Notamacropus eugenii: one gene and its partners. The main gene of each other region encodes a partner of the protein of the gene in region 2 in a complex. Links are inferred from orthologs where the notes say so. Each region holds a gene or a part of one and is shown on either strand. Other genes may lie near its edges.

The links.
Region 1: the proteins of TNPO3 (region 2) and CIRBP are in contact, whole or in part, in a crystal structure (PDB 8CMK), measured with the Homo sapiens proteins. The link is inferred for Notamacropus eugenii from reciprocal best matches to the Homo sapiens genes TNPO3 and CIRBP. Residues at the interface, in NP_036602.1 of Homo sapiens: Arg620, Glu660, Arg661, Cys663, Arg664, Arg667, Phe668, Arg671, Ser698, Cys699, Tyr702, Ser705, Ile706, Asp709, Glu710, Asp747, Asp750, Asp751, Arg754, Arg758; in NP_001271.1 of Homo sapiens: Tyr160, Arg161, Ser163, Tyr164, Asp165, Ser166, Tyr167, Ala168.
Region 3: the proteins of TNPO3 (region 2) and SRSF1 are in contact, whole or in part, in a crystal structure (PDB 4C0O), measured with the Homo sapiens proteins. The link is inferred for Notamacropus eugenii from reciprocal best matches to the Homo sapiens genes TNPO3 and SRSF1. Residues at the interface, in NP_036602.1 of Homo sapiens: His155, Arg157, Arg160, Thr167, Tyr254, Ile256, Glu257, Glu304, Glu340, Ile341, Phe343, Asn344, Tyr347, Arg348, Glu351, His352, Lys355, Thr356, Arg620, Asn656, Glu660, Arg661, Arg664, Arg667, Phe668, Arg671, Ser698, Cys699, Tyr702, Ile706; in NP_008855.1 of Homo sapiens: Ser116, Arg117, Arg118, Ser133, Trp134, Gln135, Lys138, Asp139, Arg142, Glu143, Gly145, Asp146, Cys148, Tyr149, Ala150, Asp151, Val152, Tyr153, Arg154, Val172, Arg173, Asp176, Asn177, Arg181, His183, Tyr189, Ile190, Arg191, Arg198, Pro200.

The regions. Positions count from the first base shown.
Region 1 is NC_092875.1:62,242,284-62,249,385, forward strand, and holds the start of CIRBP (cold-inducible RNA-binding protein), read left to right. Parts: upstream 1-4,005; 5' UTR 4,006-4,271; intron 4,272-5,193; exon of another isoform or gene 5,194-5,419; intron 5,420-7,102. UniProt on the Homo sapiens protein: Cold-inducible mRNA binding protein that plays a protective role in the genotoxic stress response by stabilizing transcripts of genes involved in cell survival. Acts as a translational activator.
Region 2 is NC_092874.1:121,047,924-121,055,852, forward strand, and holds the start of TNPO3 (transportin-3), read left to right. Parts: upstream 1-4,911; 5' UTR 4,912-5,297; coding exon 5,298-5,417; intron 5,418-7,929. UniProt on the Homo sapiens protein: Importin, which transports target proteins into the nucleus. Specifically mediates the nuclear import of splicing factor serine/arginine (SR) proteins, such as RBM4, SFRS1 and SFRS2, by recognizing phosphorylated SR domains.
Region 3 is NC_092873.1:370,374,773-370,381,884, reverse strand, and holds the start of SRSF1 (serine/arginine-rich splicing factor 1), read left to right. Parts: upstream 1-4,015; 5' UTR 4,016-6,617; coding exon 6,618-6,811; intron 6,812-7,112. UniProt on the Homo sapiens protein: Plays a role in preventing exon skipping, ensuring the accuracy of splicing and regulating alternative splicing.

The DNA of each region.
Region 1 (7,102 bases), on a different chromosome or scaffold from region 2:
AGGGATAATTTAGAAGGAAGAACAGGAGTGAAGCGAGGATGCTTAATAACACCATCATTATTTAGTATTGTATTAGAAATGCTAGCTATAACAATAAAAAGAAAAATAAATGAAAGGAATTGGAATAGGCAAAGAGGAAACAAAATGATCACTCTTTGCAGATGATATGATGTTATACTTAGAGAATCCTAGAGAATCAACTAAAAAACTAGTCAAAATAATTAACGACTTCCACAAAGTTGCAGAAAGCAAAATAAACCCACAGAAATCAACATTTCTATATATTACCAATGAAGTCCAGCAGGAAGACACAGAAAGAGAGATTCCATTTAAAATAACTATAGGCAATATAAAATACTTGGGAGTCTACCTTCCAGGACAAACCCAGGAACTAGATGAACATAATTACAAAGCACTTTTCACTTACATAATAAAATATACAATTTTATATATAATCATTTATATAATAGAATATAATAAAATAAGGTCAGATTTAAAAAACTGGAGAAATGTTCATGGCTCATGAGTAGGCTGAACCAATATAATAAAAATTATAATCTACCTAAATTAATTTGCTTATTTGTTGCCACATCAAACTAACAAAATTATTTTATGGAGCTAGAAAAAATAATAAAATTCATCTGGAAAAACAAAAAATCATGAATATCAAGAAAATCAATTTTTTAAAATGTGAAGGAAGGTCATATCTTAGCGTAGTAATCATCAAAACAACCTGGTACTGGCTAAGAAATAAGAGTGGTAGATCCGTGAAATAGATTAGATATACAATGTATAGTAATGAATGACCGTTGTAATCTACCGTTTGATAATCACAAAGATCCAAGCTTTTGGGACAAGAACTCACTATCTGACAAAAAGTGCTGGGAAAACTGGAAAGGTAGTTTGGCAGAAACTAGGTATAAACCAACATCTCACACTGTTTACCAAGAAAAGGTCAACATGGGTACATGATTTAGACATAAAGGATGATGATATAAGCAAATTAGGGGGCCATGGAATAGTTTTCCTATCATCTTTGGATAAGGAAAGAATTTATGACAAAACCAGAGATAGAGAATATTGCAGGAAGTAAAATGAATACTTTTGATTATTTTAAATTAAAAAGGTTTTTCACAAACAAATCCAATACAGCCAAGATTAGAAGGAAAGCAAATTTTTTATAACAAGTTTCTATGATAAAGGCCTCATTTCTCAACTATACAGAACTGAGTCAAACCATAAGAATATGAGTCACTCCCCAACTGACAAAGAGTCAAAAGACATGAGTGAACAGGTAGTCTTCAGAAGAAGAAATCAAAGCTATCTACAGTCATATAGAAATGCTCTAAATCACTATTGATTAGAGAAATGCAAATTAAACCAGCTCTGAAGTACCATCTCACGCCTCTCAGATTGGTTAATATGACAGAAAAGGAAAACGACAAATGTTGGAGGGGATATGGAAAAATTGGAACATCAATTCACTGTTGGTAGAGTTGTAAACTGATCCAACCATTCTGGACAGCAATTTGAAACTACACCTAATGTGTGCATATCTTTGACTCAGCAATGCTACTACTAGGTGTGTATCCCAAAGAGATTTGAAAAAATGAAAGAAAAAAAGAAAAAGGTAAAAGAACCTCTATGTACAAAAATATTTATAGTAGTTCTTTTTGTCATGGCAAAGAATTGGAAATTGAGGGGATGCCCGTCAACTGGAGAACTGTTGAACAAGTTGTGGTATATGATTGAGATGGAATACTATTGTGCTATAAGAAATGACAAACAGAATGGTTTCAGGAAAACCTAGAAAGACGTATATGAACTGATCCAAGAGAACCAAGCTACGGTACGAGAACATTGTACACAGCAATGGCAATCTTGTACAATGGTCACCTGTGAATGACTTAGCTATTGTCAGAAACGGAAGGATCCAAAACAATTTTGAAGGATTTATGATGAAAAATGCTATATACTTCCACTGAAAGAACTGAGTCTCAATGCAGGTCAAAACATACTTTTTTTAAAACTTTATTTTTCTTGTGTTTGTTTGTTTGTTTTTTTGGTCTGTGTTTTCTTTCGCAACATGGAAAAGGAAATATGGAAATATGTTTTGCATATCTGTACATGTATAATGTGTATCAAATCACCTGCTTTCTCAAGCTGGGGGGTAGAAATGGCAGGGACAGAAAGAATTTGGAACTTAAAATTTTAAAAAACAAATGTTAAGAATTATATTTACATGTAATTGGAAATGAAATACAAAAAATTTAAATTAAAATAAATTATCCCAAAAGAGAAAATTTTGTTTGAAATCATGAACATCCAAAAAAAGTGTTTTTAAATTAAATAAATGTAGTAACAAAGGTATCCTGTCTAATCTCCTGAAATTGTTTTTGCTTTTTCTGCTTATGTTTAAATGTTTTGTCTCCCCCTGCCCCTCTCTTGCATTTCTATAACTACCCACTAATCCCCTCCTCTCTTGTACAAGTGGTTGGTGATAACCACTCTGAGTATGGGACTGGCCCCCACTAGACAAATCTTCTTGAGTTTCTCCAGGTCCTCCATATAAATCACTGTTTTTATGGTTTAATAATATTTCATTACTTTCTTAAATCACAATTTGTACAGCTATTCTACAATTGAAGGGTAGTCTTATTTCCAATTTTTTTTTGTTATTATAAATATTTTTATGTAAACATTTTTGGTCCTTTTTTCTGACTTTGCCCTTTTTTGGGGTACAGGCCTAGTAGCAGCAGTAGTATCATTGGTCAAAAAGTATGTGTAGCTCAGGGACTTTGGGGGTATTGTTCCAAATTGCTTTTCAGAATGACTGGACCCACTCATAACTTCACCTACAGTGCATTAGTGTGCCTGTCCTATGGTAGTCCCTCCATCAGTTGCCATCTTCTATTTTTCTTTGCCAGTCTGATAGGTGTGAGGTGGGACTTCAGTGTTATCATAATTTATATTTCACTTACTAATGATTGGGAACATTCTTTTACCTAGTCATTTGAAAACTGACAAAACAAAAAATTGACTACTGGGAAACGGTTCCTATTCTTCTATTGTATCAATTCTCTCTATTTTTTAGGTGTTGGACTTTTGTTAGAAATATTTGCTATAAAGATCCCCCCTTCCCCCGGGTTAACAGCTACTCCAGAGGTTCCCAAACGTATTTGGCCTACTACTTTTCAAAAAAAATTACTCAGCACCCTCCTGAAAATTTACTTTCTTTAACCTTTTAACTTTTTTTTTGAAATTGGCATCACTTCCCAAAACACATAAATTTAATAACGTATTGTAAACTTGTGGGGTTCTTTCCTGCATTGAAATTTTGATGATGCAACATTGTATCATGTAACCTTATAGTATCATATTGTACACAAGTCATGTTCCTGTGGATGCATGCTGGACTTCCCAGCGGTGCAAAGCATGCTCCCCCGCCAACACTTGCTTCCTAAGGTCTTAGTGGACTTGACTGATAGGTTCTAACTTGCATTTTGTGTTTATTTGGAAAGTAACGTAATCACTAAGACCTGAACTCTGTTACACGACAGATAAAACTTGGACGAATGGTGTTTCAAAAGTTTCTTCTCCTCTTTCCTTATGTTCCCACCGCCCCCTTCTTTTTATTCCAGCCCCCCACTGCACCCCCCAACCTTTGGACTCTGGAGCCCAGGGTGCAAGTGACAGAGCTCTGCCCTGACCATTATTACCTGGACATCCAAGTCAACAAGGATTTATTAAGCTCCTACTATGTGCCAGGGCACAGCGCAAGGGGCAGTCCTGACCTCAAGAGCGAGAGACCATTTGGGGACTAGGTACAAACGAGGTATAGGTGGGTTAGGTCGGAGGAGGCCCGGGCGGGCTTCTGGCAGAAGGTGGCATTCTGAAGGCAGCCAGAAGCCGTGCCAGGGCCGGGTGGAGCGGGGCATCCCCGGGCGGAGGCCGGGCTCGGGCACAGCGTTCCCTGACTCGGGGGCACGTGCGTGTTGCCAACGTACAAACGTGGAATGGCTACAGTTGAGACGGAGCCTTAACGCTTTCGTGCACAAACGTGATCTCCGTTTATTCCCAGCTGCTGTCGCCACGCCCCCTGTGCCCAGGACTTGCTCAGGGTCACTCGGGCCGGATTAGCCCTGGGGGAGGGGCGGTCCCCGCGCGGATGCCCCCGCCTGTGCTGCAGAGGGAACCCCAGGGCTGCGGGTCATCCGCAGGTGCTGATCGCTTCCACCTGGCAGGGAGGGGATCACGGGCCAGACGAATAGGTAATGGAGAAGCGCTGTAGATAAAGTGGCGTCTTTAGTCGTTCCCGGGGGGCCCGAGAGTCACGGGGTGTGCGGGGGGGGCTCCCACCCGCGGTACGGAGCGCGGGGGATGCAGGGGTGGAAAGGGGGCTGGAGGCAGGAGGGGGTGCAGCCAATGAGAGCGTTCGGTGAGTGAGTGGATGTGGGGATGGAGAAGAGGGAAGGGTCCTGGATGACCCCTGGCGCGGGGACCGGGGTCACCGGTAACTGACGGGCATAGGGGTGGCTGTGCGGGCCGATGGGGGAGGAGGGGAGCACGGGGAGGGGGGTGATTGTGGGGCCGCGGCCCAGGAGGCGGATTGGCTGGGTTGGGGGAGGGGATCCCCTGGGGCCACGGAGCGTTGCCAGACTCGGGGCAGCCCCCGGGGGGAGTGGGAGTAATTAGCAGGTTGGGGGAGGCGTAACCCCGGAGCACTCGAGCGTGGGCGGGCTTTCCGGGAGGGGGTGGAGGGGTGGGGATATGGAGGAGCAGTGATTTCCCGTGGTGAGGGCTGGGGGCCGCGGAGGGCGGAGCTCGGACGTCTCTGGGCGGGGCGTCTGAGATGATTTTCCCGAGAGGGCGGGGCCCCGCGAGGGGGCGGGGCCCAGGCCTCCAAGATGGCAGGGGAGGCCTCCGTTTTCCCAGCAGCTCCTTTGTTCGGCCGCCGCAGTGCCGGAGGGAGAGCGCGCCAAACTGGGTCAGCCCCGCCTCTAGCTCCCAGAAAGGGGCGTGATTTTAGCCCCGCCTCCAATTCCTTTCCTGCCCCCCCCCCCCACCGCTCTTCGGCAGCCTGGGGTTAGAGGCCTCTTCAGCCGGAGGGGAGGGGGACTGCGGACGAGCGGCAGGCTAAGTCCCCACCAATCCCTTTACACATCCTCGGAGGAGCGGGGCGGGGCGGGAAGGGGGAGAGGGAGCTCGCCGAAGCTCATGAATATAAATCAGCGTCCGGCTTTGGTCCCCTTCGATTGGCCCTCTGGGCTCTGGGGGTGGGGCTAGAGGGCGTGGCTTCGTGGCGGCGTATATAAGGCTGAGCTCTTGGGCGCGCCGCTCATTTTCCCGTTAGGAGGCTCAGGTGGCTCTGGTCTGTCCGCTGATATCGCTTATCCTTCCCGCCCCATCCAACACACCGGTGAGGGAGCCCGCCCCCGGCCACTTGGTCGAGCCTGCGGAGCTGGCAGGGCCTGGGGTGGTCGGGGTCTGGGGGGGAGGGGAATCAAGGCAAGAGGGAGGAGAAGACGGGCGGCCCAGCGCCTGGGCGGAGAAGGGCCTAGGCACCGGCACGCCCCCCTGGGATACGGCTGTGGGCAGGACGGGTCGGCCCGCCAGGTCAGGGTGGGTTCGGTGGCGGCGGCCGACAGCCGAAGTAAGGGGCTGCTGCCGTTGCGGTGTCCCCAGGGGCCGCCGGGGCAGGCGAGTTCTCTGAGGCTTTGCCGCAAAATGGCGGCCGAGAATCTTGGCGGGCCGCTTAGTGAAATGGCGGGGACTGCCGGAGATGCCCGGATGGAATGGCGCAGGGAGGCGAGGCGGGGGCTCCTCACGCATGCGCAGAAGGAGGCGGCCGCTAGTGGGGGCTGGAGGAGGGAGGCGTTGGGCGCACTGCACCGCGAACGAGAGAGAGGGGCCCTGATTTAAGGGGAAGCCGGGCTGGGGGGCATCTAAGAATTAGTTCCTGCTTAGGACAGGGGCAGGCGCTCCGGGAGACTTGCGGGCCACGTGGTCGGCGGCCATCTTGATCTGGGCCGCGGGCTAGGCCCCGGAGTGGCCCGTTCCCAGACCCGGCCCGGCCCCAGCGGTGGGCGCCTGGGCCCCGGCGTGCCAAGGCCGCCGCTCCAAGCCATCCCGGGCCTGCCGGCTGCCCCGCCCACCCGGCCCCTAAGCAGCGACCCCGAGGTCAGTTGGTCAATTCCGGACCTGACGCCTCCTACAAAGTGGTCCTGGGGCTTCCTGTAAAAGATGTAAAAAGAAGGCTCTGTCCCGCGCACAGCACCTAACCCCAGGCTTAATGTTTTTTACTAGAGAACAGGCCCACAGAAGGAAGGGACTTGCCCCCAAGGTAGCGAGTGTCAGCCTTGGGGTTGGAATGGTGTGGGGAGAGTCTGAATTTGGGGTCCTGGCTCTTCGGTGATTTTAGGGGAGGCACTTCGGGAACCAGATTACGCATGTCAGAGGCCTCTTTGGGCTGTAAAACCTTTCCATGGGCTCCTGATTTTTAATTTCTTTGTTTTTTTCCCACCATACCATGTTAATCTCTCATGGGATCCTAGCTACCATCTTAGGAACAAGAAGGTACAACCAGGGTCATTTAGTTTATTCTCATTTGTTTTTGTCTTTTTTTTAGCACGTATATGACCCTTGACAAATTGCTTAATTTTTTCTGGGCATCAGTTTTCCCATATGTAAAATGAAAGTATTGAGTTTGTTGCTTGAAAAGCTCTTTCTAACCTTATAGTGTAAGATCTATCAGTGCTCTTTCATGCTTTGGGCGGGGTGTTATAAGGGAGAGAACTCTGTCCAGGCCCTGGGAGACTTTGCCTATTTTTAAAGTCCCTGTTCTGGTCTGAGGTTTTTTTTTTTTGTTTTGCCTTATCAAAGCTAGGAAAGGGCCCTTGATGTGACATTCTAATGAATGAATCCAAAGGAATTTAGGCATAGATCCCGGATTGAGAACCCTAGTTTTAAGTGAACTAGATCTACTTGTGTGTGCTTTTTTTATAAAATGTGTCCTGATATTCCCTTTTGCCCCATCCAAATTCCCCTCCAGCTCCTGTTTACAAATTTGATATAGTTTTGAGCAGGTGGGAGGGTTAGTTTC
Region 2 (7,929 bases):
TTGGTATCTCTCAACAGTGGAAGGTCCTTCAGTCTTCTCCTACTCAGTCTTCTGACCCACACTCGTCTGTGAAGTGCAAGTTCCCAAGGCTGAAGCTGCCTCCCAACCTAGCTGCCCCCAGGACTTGTTGATTCTGAGGGGTTGGCCTGGAAGTGTTTGTATTTCACTCAGATCAAACTTCCACCCCTGGAAGTAGTGTCTTTCCTGGGGTGTTCTCAAATTGTATTAGGAGGACAACTGCTTTACCTCAACTTTTCTTGATTTCTGTTTATATTATAGTATTCTTTTTTTTTTGTGGAGGAAATTTGGAGAGCCAAAAGTTTTCTGACCTACGCTGTCATCTTCCCAGAATCCTCTCCCTCGTATGCACAGAGATGATCATTGAACCAAGCCTTAAACCCAATTCACTTTGGAGCTCATAGACTGGTCAACAACTTCCCACCCACTTAGTACAGAGTGAATGTAATTACTAAATAGTAACTATTTCTCTTTTACCCAGGAACCCTGAGGGCCTTAACCTCCCAGTTTGAATTTTTTTAAAGGGACCATCCCTTGAGTAACTACTTAAAGAAGCCTCTTCATTGAATGGGTGTATCTCAGTCAAGGTGAGAATGTGATAAGACCTTAGACCTGAAAGGGCCAGGGTCTCCCAGTGCATCCTGGGCCATCTCTAGTCATTCTGATGAATATCAGGCCTCTGGACCCAGATGGCTCAAGAGAAGAAAGTGAGGTTGGTGACATTGCACAACCCTCCCTCAACTCAAATCAAAGTTACCTCAAGTCATGTCATCATCTGGATGTCAGGGTCCTCTTTGAGAAAGAAGGACAAACACAAGCTGTGCATCCAAGTATATTGATGAGATCAAGTGAGAGAGTATAGAGTAAAAAATGGGATTAGGATAGCCTTGGAAGACATTCACAACTAGTGAATGTGATGTTGAAGATCTAACAAAGGACACAGAGAAGTGCTCAGAGAGGCAGAGAGAGATCAAGGGAAGGTTTTGACCAAAAAACCCAAAACAACCCAAAACAACCCAAAACACTCAGTATCCAAGTTGCATGCGGGGGAGGGGAGGCAAGACTAACAAAATTTGTGGAGATGTCAAGCAGGGTGAAGACTGAGAAAAAACAATTCAATTGGCAATTTATGAGATTGTTGGTAATTTTAGAGAAAGTAATTTCAGTTGAATGATGAGTTTGGAAGCTAGATTAGAGGAAAGGAAGTGGAGGAACTGGGGCTAGACAGCCTTTTCAAGTTTAGCTTAGAAGGGGAGGGGAGATACAGGATGACAGATTGCAAAGATAGTAAGGCGTAGTGAAGGGTTTTGAAGGATGAGGAAGATCTGGGAATGTTTGTAGGTGGCATAAAAGGAACTATTAGATAATATTAGATATTAATATAATACTAATATTAGATATTAGATAGACTACATTAGATATACTACAGATACCTATCTAAGTGCCTTCTGGCCATTTTACCTGAAGATACAATAAAAACAAATACAAAAAACTTTTATTAAGCCTTTACTTCATGTAAAGCACTGTGCTAGGTGCTGCAGGTGATTAAAAGTTTAGATACATCATGGTCCCTCCACTCAAGGAGGTATAAAAGGTAAGGGTATAAAATACCAGCACAAAGTTATAATGCACAAAAATAAAAAATTGTTGAGCCAAACATAATGTCCAACAGGAGGAGCTCAGCAAAGGTTTGCTGAATTCCTAATGTCACTTTTGTTAGAAACATGCTGAAACTCAAGTATCAAGGAAAATTTATTAAAGAAGAATCCAGAGGAATTGGATGTTTCTGGCCAGAAGCGGGCTCCACCCTTTTCCAGGAACAGGGAATGCTGAATCTGAAGGGAGAGAAGTTTTATACTGTTAATTCAGAACAAAATCCTCCCATCAGAGGACAGATTGTTCTGTTCTCTTTCAGGTCACAATTTTCCAGACATGCCCACTGTATGTTTTCCCCTAAGCATGTGTAGGCATGTACCCCTCCCTCATCATATGTTCCACGATCAGAAAATGGAGGGATAATTTTGTGTGAGGTGTGTCTGCTTATATGCATGAGGTTTATTAAGCATGCACTATGAAGAAAAGCTTTCTCATGGTCACTGACCCCAACAGGTTTAAACTAGTTTCAGGCTGGGCCCCATTATCAGAAACTTTTTGGTTAGGCTAGCTTCTTCCCCTGAGAGCTGATTGGTTGGTAGTGCTTGTTATCTTACATTACCTTGAAACTGCAACATTTTGTGGAATCCTAACTTATATAAGAATGACTTGTCTTTCTCACACTTTAAGCTCAATAGGCTCTTCCTCCTAACCTTATTTCTATGTGATGACTAGGATAGAGAACCTAGTCACCTAAATTCAAAATGTCATAACTTTATATTTCCTTGAAACCAATTAATGAGTTTCATTGGTTCCTCTACAATATTTCCTATATCTGTTTTTTACTGCACTGCCTTTGGACTTCTTCCCCATACCCTAGGAAGCTCATAATTGGATTAACCTCATCATCATGTTAAGATTTCATCAGCTTTGACATTCCCCTTCATCACTATCCTCTGCCTCTCTGATTGGAGGGTAGGACCATGAATTCCAAACCTCCATTTAACGGGAGACCTCAGCCTAGCTATTTCATTTCTAGCTTGAGACTTCCCTGGTTGACTTCTCCACCACACCTCCATGTTGGATAGTTGCCCCCACCCCATTCAGATTCCTTTTGTGTGTCCTCTTCCTCTTTAGGATTTTAAGTTCCCAGAAGGTAGGGACTTTATTTTTTCATATTTGTTTCCCCAGCTCTTAGCAGGGTGCCAGGCATAATGTTTATTGACTATTCACTTTTAATCCCCACTAACATTCTAATTTTTCCTTATCTTATGCATTATTGTATAGCCTTATAACTCACTTCCATTCTTCGAATCTTTCTACTGCTCCAATCCATCCTTTACGCTACCACTAGTTTTATCTTCCTGGAGACCTTCACCATCTACAGTAGAGTTCTTCTATTTGAAATAACTTTTAACATTTACAAGGCACTTTAAGGTTTGCAAGGTACTTTATGTCTTATTTCATTTGACCTTCACAACAACCCTGTGAGATGAATGCTATTATCTTCATTTTACAGAAGAAACTGAGGCTGATGAGGTTTAAGTGACTTGCCCAGGGGCACCTAGCTAATGTCTGAGGCAGGGTTTGAATTCAGATGTTCTTGACTCCAACTCCATCTTTCTATCTGCTGCACCACTTTTATGTGGGCCATTCTCTAGCCGACTTGTGAGTATCTTTGGCAAGCATAGGTCTTCTTGTTCTATACTCTGATACTAAAAGGATTGTTGAAAAGTTATTTCTGTGGTTGTATTTATCATAGTCTTGTACAATAATATATGCATAGGGGACATATTGGAGGAGAGGGCTACATTTTGCTGTCTGGAATCACTTTTTAAAAAATAAATAATTGGCAAATAAGCTCAATGACACAATTTTATATTTTCTATTACTTCTGTCAGCGGTGCCTGAAGATGTAGGTCTGGTGTAGAAAATACACAAAAAGCTGGTGTTCCCTTTTCATGTTTTTACTCCTAGTAGCCTTGTTGTGCGTCCATGTACTAAAGAAAGTAGAAATTCTCCTTAAGCATTGTTGAGCCCTTAAGCAGAACACTGCCACATATGAAAGATTACAAACTAATTGTTGTAGAACTTACACTCTAGTTGAAGGAAACCACACATACACAGAATTTACAAAGTGTGGCAGCAGCCTTTACCAACTGTTAAAAGGATAGGAGGGCGTGCAGTAAGGAAGTCATCACAAAATGGTCCTCAGAAGTCTTCTAGCCCACATCCCTCATGTGGGATGAACATTTCAGAGATAGGAAGTGACAGTCGGATTTTGCCTCCAGGTCCTGACTCCAAATCCAGGCCTCCTTCCACTGAACCGCACGGATGGTAAGGGTGCAGCCTGGTGCGGGGGCTGATTCTGAAACAAGGGATGCACGCGGGGCGTGTGTCATCATCATACTATTAGTGATAATGACAGCTCTCAGTCCCATGGCACTAGTGAGGCCGGCCAGCAGCACTTTCCGTATGTTCTCTTATTCGATCCTCACGGTCCTGTCAGCGGTCAGCGGGGCGCGGTCATTGTCTCTACGATGCAGAAGGCAGGAGTGAAGCCGACAGAGATAAAGGGACCGGCCCAGGGGACACGGTGACCAACTGTCCGGGGCCAGGTCGCGGGTCCTTCTCGACTCCAAGGCCAACGCTCTCCTTGGCACCATTCACCAGACGGGGCGTCAGCCGCGGCAGAGATGGTGACCTGGAGCGCACAGCCCCACCGGCCTTGTCCTGGCTGGCGCGTGGTGCACCTGGAGACCCGGACGCGCGCGGACAGCACAGGATGCTGGCGTTTGGCGATGGAAGGACTTTGGAAATCGCCCATCGCATTCAGGGGCTTTTAACCTTTTTTGTGTGCTAGGGTTCCTTTGGCAGTCTGGGGTTTTTAGATTCATAAAATACGGAGGATTACCAAAGAAACCAGAAGTTAGTGAAAATAAAGACGTAACGACCGGGGGGAGGGGAGGAAGAGCAAGGGAGGGAGGTGGCCCCCGGCTGGTAGGAGAATCGATCCCGGCGCCGAGACGCAGCCCCGGGGACCCCACGTGGAAGCGGCGCCGCAGGGACCCCAGGCTCGAGATGTCAGGAGGAGGAAAGGTCTCCGTCCAAGACCAAAAAGCACCGGCTTCTAGAGGCCCGCACCCCCGGGAGGCCCCGGGAATTCAATGGCAGAACACACCGCTTCCTTTCGCGCTTCTTCGGTTTCTGGCCGGGGAGGGCCACTTCCGGTACCAGGGGGCTCCGAAAGGCGGGGAGCACGGCTTGCGGCGGCCCCGGCGGAAGTGCGCTAAAGGACCAGTGTCGCTGCTTCCGGTCCGGGTTGAGCGGTTCTCCTGCTGGAAGGCTCTGTGGTTTGCGGGAGCCGGCTGGGGCTGGAGCATCCCGGAGCTAGGGGGGAGGGAGAGAGCGAGGTGGAGAGAACACGCGGGCTCCCAGGCTGATTCGGGGACAGCCCGATGGTGACGCCGGCCACCGATCGCAGGCACAGAAGACAGAGGGAACCCGAGCGCCACCAGGCTCCTGTTTCCAGGGGGGCAGCCTGCACGGGACACCCCCCGCCCCGGTAACGGCCGAGGAGGAGGAGGAGATGGCGCCGGCCAGGGAGCGGCCGTGGCCGAGGCAGTGAGAAGCAGCGAAGCCCGAGGAGCCTGCGCCCCCGCGTGTGAAGAGCAGGAGCCGGCGCCATGGAAGAGACGAAGCCGAGTTTGCAGCTGGTGTACCAGGCTGTGCAAGCGCTCTACCACGACCCGGACCCCAGCGGCAAGGAGCGCGCCTCGTTCTGGCTCGGGGAGCTGCAGCGATCGGTGAGCGGGGGCCGGGGCCGGCCGCGGGGGGCGGGGTGCCGGGTGCTGGAGAGGCCTGCGGCGGGGCCGGAGCCGGCTCGGCGGCCCCGGGGCCTCGTGCAGCCCGAGGGGAGGAGCTGCGGCGCGGGGCGGGGCGCGGCGGCCCAGCCGCGGCTGGTGGAAGTTTCTAAAGAGAAGGGGCAGCCGCCAGCCCGGGGACCCTTCCCCTCCAGGGGCTGCAGAGTCTTGGGCCTGGAGCCCCCTGGGAGCTGAGGCCTTCCCGGGTTCCCGCTCTTCCACTGCCCCGAAGGGACCGGCCGCCCGGTCCCCTGCTGGTCCCTGTCCCATCTCCGTCCCTGTCCAGCACGCCCACTCCTTTCTTTTCTCCGCGTTCCGGTGTCGCAGCCTGGGATTCTTTCCCATCCATTTGCACCCGCGCCCCCATCCTCATTTTCATCCATTAATAGCTCTAAACACCTCTCAGCTCTTTTAGGTCTTTGCATCTGCCAGTTTTGCCCCCTTGTTGTATTCCTTTGCCACCTCCTTGTCTTTTAACTCCGTGTTGGGACTTACTCTTTCTTCCTCACGATCCCCCTTAACTTATGTTGTATAATATCTTTTTTTTCTGAAATGTGGGGAAAACTTTTTAATTCTACTGGAGCCATGAAATTGTTTTTTAACAAATGTGAAAATGCTTTGAAAATGAAAGGATATTGCACTGTATTTGCTTGTCTTTCAAGCACAAATCCTTTTCTGATTTCTGTTGACAACCCTTCTCTTCCCCCCTCCCTCAATTCCTTCCTTTGCTGATTTTTGTACTGTGCCCTTTAAAGCTAACTTGTTTGAGGTCTTAGTGCGTACGAGTTCCGTTTATTTTGGTCAGCTTGCAACTTTGCATTTGAAATAGGGTGGGTGGTTTATTTTTGTATGTTCCTTTGTTTCCAATTCTTGGCTTGCCTGATTTCAAGTAATGAGAAATTTTTATAAGATAGATATTATTACTTGATAATCATAACACAGTTTCTGTGGTCTGGAGAGGGAGAAAAGCCTTTTTGTGGTGCTTTGTTTTAGAGTTTCCTAGCGGTAGTTATTTTTGTAAGATAGATTAAAATTACTTTCATTTTTATAGGAGGGAAGTGCTTGGTTCGAACAGGAAAAAGTGATTTGTTAATTAAAAGGGACTTTCTCAAGGTATATTTCCCAAGCTGTTTCAGTAGTATGTAACAAACTTGAAGTTTGGTCCTAGCACAGTTAGGTTTTTATTCTCTTTGGAGGACAGAGCTTACTTAAACGTTAGTTGTGCTATGAGACCTGTGTCAAGAAGAAACTTTTTAATTTTTTTGTAGAACATAATTTTTTTTCTCCTCACAATCTCAATATGCAGTTGTAATTCCAGCGATCTCTGCCAATTGGTCTCCTTGACAAGCTCAATATGAAGCAGTAGTTAATAGTGGTACAATTTAGATACAGTTGAGCACATTCTGGAATAGGATGCATTCCTTGTGTTGCATATATCAACATCTTTTTCTCCCCCCACCCCCCTTCATTCTTAGAAACATCCTGCTGCAGAGATTATTAGAATTGATGACTTGGAAATTTTCTAAAGGAAGAGAAAACTATATTTCTCTGGTTTGGAGGCTGACTTTTATAGCAATCCTACCTAGCAAGGGTCTGTTATATGGCAGGACTCTATTAAATATGGTGGGAGGGAGATGCCCTAATTTAACTCAGCTAACTCAAACTCTGGGGGGAAGCATTGAATGAAAAGTCATCCCTTCGTTGGATATGTGGAATAACCTAAGTTGTTGAAGACAATAATTTAAATCAAGAAGAAGGGAAGTGTATTTTATAGACTGGAAAACTGTGATAGTTTTGACTGGAATAAGAGCAAATCTGGTTGCTGTACTGTGCACCACGGAAGCAGATGAGCCAGGATAACCTTGGGACAATGATAATTGATTTGGCCTAGATTCTTGGGAATTTTTTTTCCCCATAATAAATGAGGCAGGCTGTGGGATATGTACTCTAGTACTTTTCCTCTTTGGAATTCCCAGTTCCCTGAAATTCTTCTGAAACATCAGGGTTTTCTTTTCCTTTTCCTTTTCAGTCATTGGTTTGACTTGGTAATTTATTCTGAAGACTAGACATTTATTTGGTGTTTTTAAGCTGTCAATCAACATTGCCAGTCAGCTGTCAAACTGTCAATGAACCACATTGACTCCTATCATGTGCAGACATTGCTCAAGGATGAAGATGTGGAGTCCAAAAGAAAGGGCGTCTTTGCCTTCAAGGAGCTTGAGTGTTTTTGGAGAAGACACCATGTATGCACATAAGTAAATACAAAATAACACGTGATATAAACATAAGACAGTGGTGGCACTATGTTTGTGGGTGAAGGCACTGGAAGCTTTGGGAAATGGGGCAAGGCTCCATGTTGGAAGTGGCACTTGGACTGAGCTAAGAAATAAGCTAGAATTGATCTGAGGCTTGGTGGAGGTGAGGAGGCATGGAGAGTCTGTGAAATTACATATGA
Region 3 (7,112 bases), on a different chromosome or scaffold from region 2:
AGGGGAAGGGGGATAAAAGGGGAGGTTGATAAAAGGGAGGCAGGTTGGGGGAGGGGGTAGTTAGAAGCAAAACACTTTTCAGGAAGGACGAGGTGAAAGGAGAGAGAGAATAGAATAAGCAATGCGGGGTGAAAGGATGGAGAGAAATACAGTTAGCAATAGCGACTGTGAACAAAAATTTGAAACAAGTTTTTCTGATAAAGGCCTCATTTTTCAAACATAAAGAGAACTGAGTCAAATTGATAAAAATAAGAGCCATTCCCCAATTGATAAATGATCAAAAAATGATCAGTTTTCAGATGAAGTAATCAAAGCTATCTATAGCCATATTAAAAATATTACTTGCTACTGATGGAGAAATGGAAATTAAAACAATTATGAGGCACTCCTCATAGCTATTAGACTGCCTAATAGGACAGAAAAGGTAAATGACAAATATTGGAGGGGATATGGGAAAAATGAAACATTAATATGCTGTCAGTAGAGTTGTAAACTGAGTCAACCATTCTGTAGCGCAATTTGGAACTATGTCCAAAGGGCTATAAAACCATGCACACCCTTTGACTTAGCAATACTAGGTCTGTATGCCAAAAGAGATAAAAACCAAAAAGGACCCATATCTACAAAAATATTTATAGCAGCTCTCTTCTTGAGGCAAAGAATTGGAAATTGAGGGGATGCTCACCAATTGGGGAATGGCTAAATAAGTTGTGGCATACAATTATGATGGAATAGTATTGTACTACAAGAAATGATGAGCGGGATACTCTCAGAAAAACTTGGAAAAGACTCACATGAGCTGATCCAAAGTGAAATGTACTGTGTACAAAGTGGCAGCAATATTGTAAGATGATCAGCTTATAACTTAAGATACATATATATATGTGTGTATATATATATATGTGTATATAAGATAACTTAGCTATTCTTAGCAATACAATGATCCAAGACAATTCTGAAGAACTTATGATGAAGGATGCTCTCCATCCCCAGAGAAAGAACTGATGTGCCTGAATACAGATTGAAGCATACTTTTTTTAACTTTCTTCTTGAGGTTTTTTTCTCTGTGATTTCTTTTACAACATGATTATTATGAAAATGTTGTGCATGACTGCACATGTATAACCTATGTTGAATTGCTTGCCTTCTCAACGGGGCGGGGGGGGGGGGCTGGGGGTGGAGAAGGAAGCGGGGAGAGAATTTGGGACCAAAAGTTTTAAAAACAAAAGTGAACTGGGGAAAAATAAAAATGAATGAAATGAATGAATGAATGAAAAATAAAATGAATACAAATTTAAATAAAAAGCCATCCTAGAATTCCTCACTATCTCTAACCTCCACTATCCTCATATACCACATCCCCCAACCTCCCCTCTTGACTCTGCCCTGTATCAATGTGTTGCCAAAGCTTGTCAATTTGACCTTTGCAACATTTCTTGAATATTTCCCCCTCTCTCCTCAGACACAACCACTATTCTAGTGCAGGCCCTCATCACTTGATACCTGGACTATTGCAACAGTGGGTCAGCGTGCCTCAAATCTCTCCCCAGCTCATTCATTCTCCATTCAGCAACTCAAGTGAATTGCCTAAAACACAGGTCTGACCATACCATCCCTCTCTACTCAATAAATTCCAGTGGTTCCCTATCACTTCCAGAAGCCTCTGGTTGGTGTTCAAAGCCCTCCATAACCCTAGACCCCCTCCGACCCTTCCAGTCTTCTTATACCTTACTAACAAGTACAATTACTCTTCAAAGGATCCAGTGATACAGACTTCCTTGCTATTTCCAGAAAGAGACACTCCATCTCAGCACCAGGCAATCTCTTTGTCTCCCATGACTGCAATGCTTTTCCTCCTCCACTCAGATGACCGATCTCCCTGGCTCCTTTAAGTTCCTACTAAAATTCCACTTTCTACAGGAAGCCTTCCATTTGTCCTGCATATAGCTTGCTTTGGGTATATATATATATATATATATATATATATATATATATATATATATATATATATATATATATATATATATATATATATGTGTGTGTGTGTGTATATATGTATATGTATATGTATGTATACATATATATAATATATATTTGTCTGTAAGGTGTCTCTCCAATTATAAACTTCTTGAGGGCAAGGTCTCTTTTTGCATCCTCAGCACTTAGCACAGAGCTTGGAACACAGTAAGCACTGAAATGTTTTTTGATTGTCAAGTTATTCTATTTCTACTCCCTTTCATAGGCGAATTTATAGGAAAAGTTGTCTACATTCATTGCCTCCTCTTCTCTTACTCGTTTCTCACCACCCTTCAGTTTGGATTCCAAATTTATCATTCAACTGAAACTTGCTCTCCAGTTACCAACCATCTCTTAAGTGTCCACTCAAATGGCCTTTTCTCCGTCCTCATCATTCTTGATCTCCATCCTTTTCTCTTTGGGTTTTTATGCACTGCTGTATCTCCCTTTTCCTCTTACCTGTTAGATTCTTCCTCAGTCTCCTTTGCTTGATCATCATCAATGTCATAGGATTATAGATATAAATGGGGCTGAGAGGTCATTGATTCCAACCCCTTCATTTTTCAGAGGAGAAAACTGAGTCTGAGAAACATAATATTAAGTAGCATTTAAATGGTGTTTTAATGTTTGCAAAACCTTTTACAGATATTCTTATCATGTTTATCCTCACAACAACTATGGGAGTAAGTGCTATTATTATCCTCATTTTTCAGATGAAGAAACTGAGGCCCACAGAGGTTAAGTGTATTTATCAGGGTCACAGAGCTAGTAGGGCCTTTCAAACTCCAGACCCAATGCTCTCTCTCCTGTGCTACCTAGTTACCCGAGGTTAAGTAATTTGCCCAATGTCACACAGTTAATAAGTATCTGGTGGCAAAATTTAAATTCAGGATTTAGTAACTCCAAATGCAGTTCTCTGTCCATCAAGTTTACTATGGGTATACCTCAAGGCTTTATCCTGGGTCCTCACCTTTTCTATAGCTATACACTCTTTTGGTTATCTCATTGACTTCCATGAGTTTAATTAAGATAATATCTTTGAAGATAACTCTGGGCCAAACCTTACTGAGCTCTGGCCTTTCATTCCCAACTGCTTGCTCCACATTTCCAGTGTATGATTTGTAGACTTCTCAAATGCAACATGTCTAAAACAACATCCATCTTTGTCTCCAAACCTACTCCTCTTCCAAACTTTCCTCTTTCTTTAAAATGGACTAGCATCTTTCTAATCACTCAGGTTTCTGACCTCAGTTATTCTTCAGGTTTCACTTCCTTCTCACCTGGAATATTAAAAGACTTGCCAAAGCTTCTTGTCTCCAAAACATCCTTCTTATTATTCTTTTTTCTTCATTCCCATGGCCACCATCCCTTGTCTGGGCTACTGCAGTAGCTTCCTAAGTGTTCTGTTTCAAATCTCTAAATGACCCATCCTCCGCAGAGCTGCCCAATTGATATTCCCAATGCATGAGTCTGACCATGTCATCTCCACCCCTGCTATAAAAAGCTCCAGTGTTTCCAGCACAAAATACAAACCGCCTTTATTTGGCATTTAAAACCCTTCATCACTTAGCTCAGGCAGGTAGAAGGATAGACTCATCTTTAAGTTCAAATCCGGCCTCAGACACTTATTAGCTATGTGACCCTGGGCAAGTCATTTAATTCTGTTTGTCTCAGTTTCCTCATCTGTAGAATAAACGGAGAAGGAGATGACAAACCCCTCCAGTATCTTTGCCAAGAAAACCCCCCAAAACCATCTAGTTCTAATCAACCTTTCCAGATTTATGACATCATACAATCTGTGTTCCTGCCAGTCTACTTGCTCTTTCTCATCCATGATAATCCATTTTCCATCTCTATGGTTTTTTGCTGGCTCTTCTCTGTGCCTGAAATGTTCTCCTTCCTCATCTCTACCTCTAACAATCCCTTGTTTCCTTCAAGGGTTAGTTCAAGTGCCCCCTTCTAAAGTCGAGTTTTTCGAAGCTGTCATCCCACCCTGCTGCTATTACTGGGGCTTTGCTAAAATTATTTTGTAGCAATTATACACACACATATGTATGTATATGTGTATATGTGTTTATATACACATACTTCATGTTTACGAATGTGTGTATGTGCCTTTTCTCTTTAGTAGAAGCTAAGGTCCTCGACATCAAGAACTGTTTCTTTTTTTGTCTTTACATCACATTGCTGTTCAGTTGTTTCTCTTTTGTGATGCTATTTACAGATTTTGGGAATTTAATGTTGTGGTTTGCTATTTCCTTCTCTAGCTCATTTTACAGATGAAGAAAGCGAGGCACACAAGTTAAGTGACTTGCCCAAGGTCATACGGCTAATAAGGGTCTGAGGCCAGATTTGAACTCAGGAAGATAAGTCTTTTTCTTGACTTCAGGCCTAGCACTCTATCCCATGAGCAACCTAGTAGAGTTGCTTATATACTTAGCATTTAGTAAAGTACATGTTAATTAGTGCTTAATAAATGCTTGAATGACTGATGAGTTGCCAAAATGCTGTAGGGTGTTTCCTCACTGGTACTTACCTACAGAAATTACGTTATAGAAAAAACAATTCCCTCTTTGTATCATTCATCACATCCCTGACAGGGCAGTGATTTTTCCCATATAAAAATAACTTAAAAGGGGAAGGGGTAGCATAGTAACAGCTAGTGTCCGCCCTCCAGATTAATTCCAATTTATATTATGCCTATCTAGTTATTTACTTGTTGTTCCTGGCTCCACTCACATTAGATTGTAAACTCCCTGAGGGCAAGGATTATTTTTTCTTTACCTTTCTTTGTACTTAACCAGCCGACATATTGGTACTTTGGCTGTTCACCTTTCTGAGCTAGTTTCAGCATTTGTAATTAGCGGTGAGACTGGTCTCCACCCACAGTTTAGCACTGAAAGGGTCACAAATGGAAAAAGTTTAAGAAGTCCAGAACTAGATGACATCTAAGGCCCTTCCAAGTTTCCTATTTTTTGTTCTATATTTGGGGAGAAAGGTTGGAAAGCTACAAAAACTACCTCACTCAAGGATGGGAAAGCTGGCTAGCATTTCATAAATGTAAAGTCAACGTCCAACCCGGTTTTACAGATGGAGAAACTGAAGAGGTCAGAGGATGGGGAAGTAAAGCAACTTCAAGGTCTCTGTTCCAGGACTTACAGGCAAGTCTCCTGAATCTTAAAAAATCTTGTACTCTTTGAAAAAACACCAAACATGAAGTGTCTACTATATAATGAGCACTGGAGTTGGAGGGAAAAACTGAGCTACCTAGCTCTAAATTTCAACTCCCTATAGGCTGAAAGTGTTTTTTAATTATAAATGTTTTCTAGTCACAGTCATGAACGCAAAAAAATAATTAAATGACAATGTGTTGTCAAACTAAAGATTATCATGGCCACACACTTTTCATTAGAAAGTCTCGTTACATACTTAACACCAAGTCAGATGAAAATAATTTTTTATAATTAATAATAATAATATTTTTAACTCCCCCCCAATTATTTTAAGATCTTTTTACTGAAGGTCTCTGCTAATAAATCTACCTGAATTCCCTTTTTTCTCAATGACATGTAAAAATAACTTTTTTTTAAACATTTCGAGTTCCAAATTCTCTCCCTCTCTTCCCTCCTCTAAGTACATACACTGTCAAGCAAATGTGTTTTTCACGTAAATGTGCAGATTTTTTTAAGTTCCCAGGTAACAGCAAAAAATAGGTAGAAGAGGGTTCTGCCCTCAAGAAGCTTACGTTCGTCATCCCCTTATATACTAGCAAATCAACCTATTTGCGTAGGTGGGTGGGCAAAGCAGTTGGCGGCCAGGTGGGTTCGTGCCACACCTCCAGCTGCGTAATGACGTCAACGTGAAACACGCAAAGAGAGTCCGGCAAAGCCCCCTTCTGAGCTAGGAAATTGCCACGCGGCCCCCATTAAAGACTCCGCACGCACCTCTGCACACGCATCTCCGCCCCCAGACCGCGGCGCCGACTTGAAGCTCCAGTCCCCGCCCACTCCCCACCCCTGCCGCTTTACTCCACTTTTGTCCCCGCCCCTCAGCGTTTTCCCGCCAAGGGCCGTTACTGCCGCGCGGAATTGTGGGCCGGTGCTGCCCGCTGCCGGGTCTATTTCAGTCCTCCCCGAGGCGCCAAACCGCCCAGCAGACGCGGCTTCCTCAGTCCCGAGAAGAACGACTTGGCCCGACGTAAACTAGTAGCCCCCCACTAAGGATAACACCTGTCGGTGTTTTCATCCTACTACTGGGTTTTGCCACGCGGAAGTTCGACGACTCGATATATCCTACCGGCGCGGGACTTTTTTTTTTTTAAGTTCTCCTGTCGCCGCGGAGGGTGACGCCGGACGCGCGTGCGCAACGAACCCCGTAGAGGTGCCCGTTGCGTTCCTGCGCGTGCGCAGCGTGTCCGCGAGTCCGCCTGCTGTCTCCCCTCCCCCGTATCCGTGCGCGGAGCAGGCAGATAAGGGCGCCATTTTGGAGCAGCCGCGGGAGACGTGGTGTAGCTTGCAGGGCTTCCTCCGCTGTGTGTTTGTAGGGTGGGGGAGGGAACTCGGGCTCTCTAGTCCGCGCCTTTCTTCGTCGTCGCTACCGCCATGTCGGGAGGAGGAGTGATCCGCGGCCCGGCTGGGAACAACGATTGCCGCATCTATGTGGGCAACCTTCCCCCGGATATCCGCACCAAGGACATAGAGGACGTGTTCTACAAGTACGGCGCCATCCGCGACATAGATCTTAAGAACCGTCGCGGAGGGCCCCCCTTCGCCTTTGTGGAGTTCGAGGACCCGCGGTGAGGAGGCCCGGGACGGAGCTGGCTGGGGAGGGGTGCTGGAGCGCGCGGGCCCGCCCTGCAGACTGTGAAGAGGGAGAGCCGGGGCCTGCGCTGAGAAAACAGACGCGTGGTGGCGGACAGGCAGAGGGGAGCAGTCCGAAAGCCCTGGGGACAGCAAGGAGCGCCTACCCGTTCCTGGCTGGCTGCCCTGGGCCCCCCTAGGTGGGGCCACGTGGACGCCACGGGGGGAACCTGGGCTCCCGCCGACCTAGGGCGGGAAGGCGAGCCCACCGCCGGGGGAAGACTCGCGGGGCAGCCC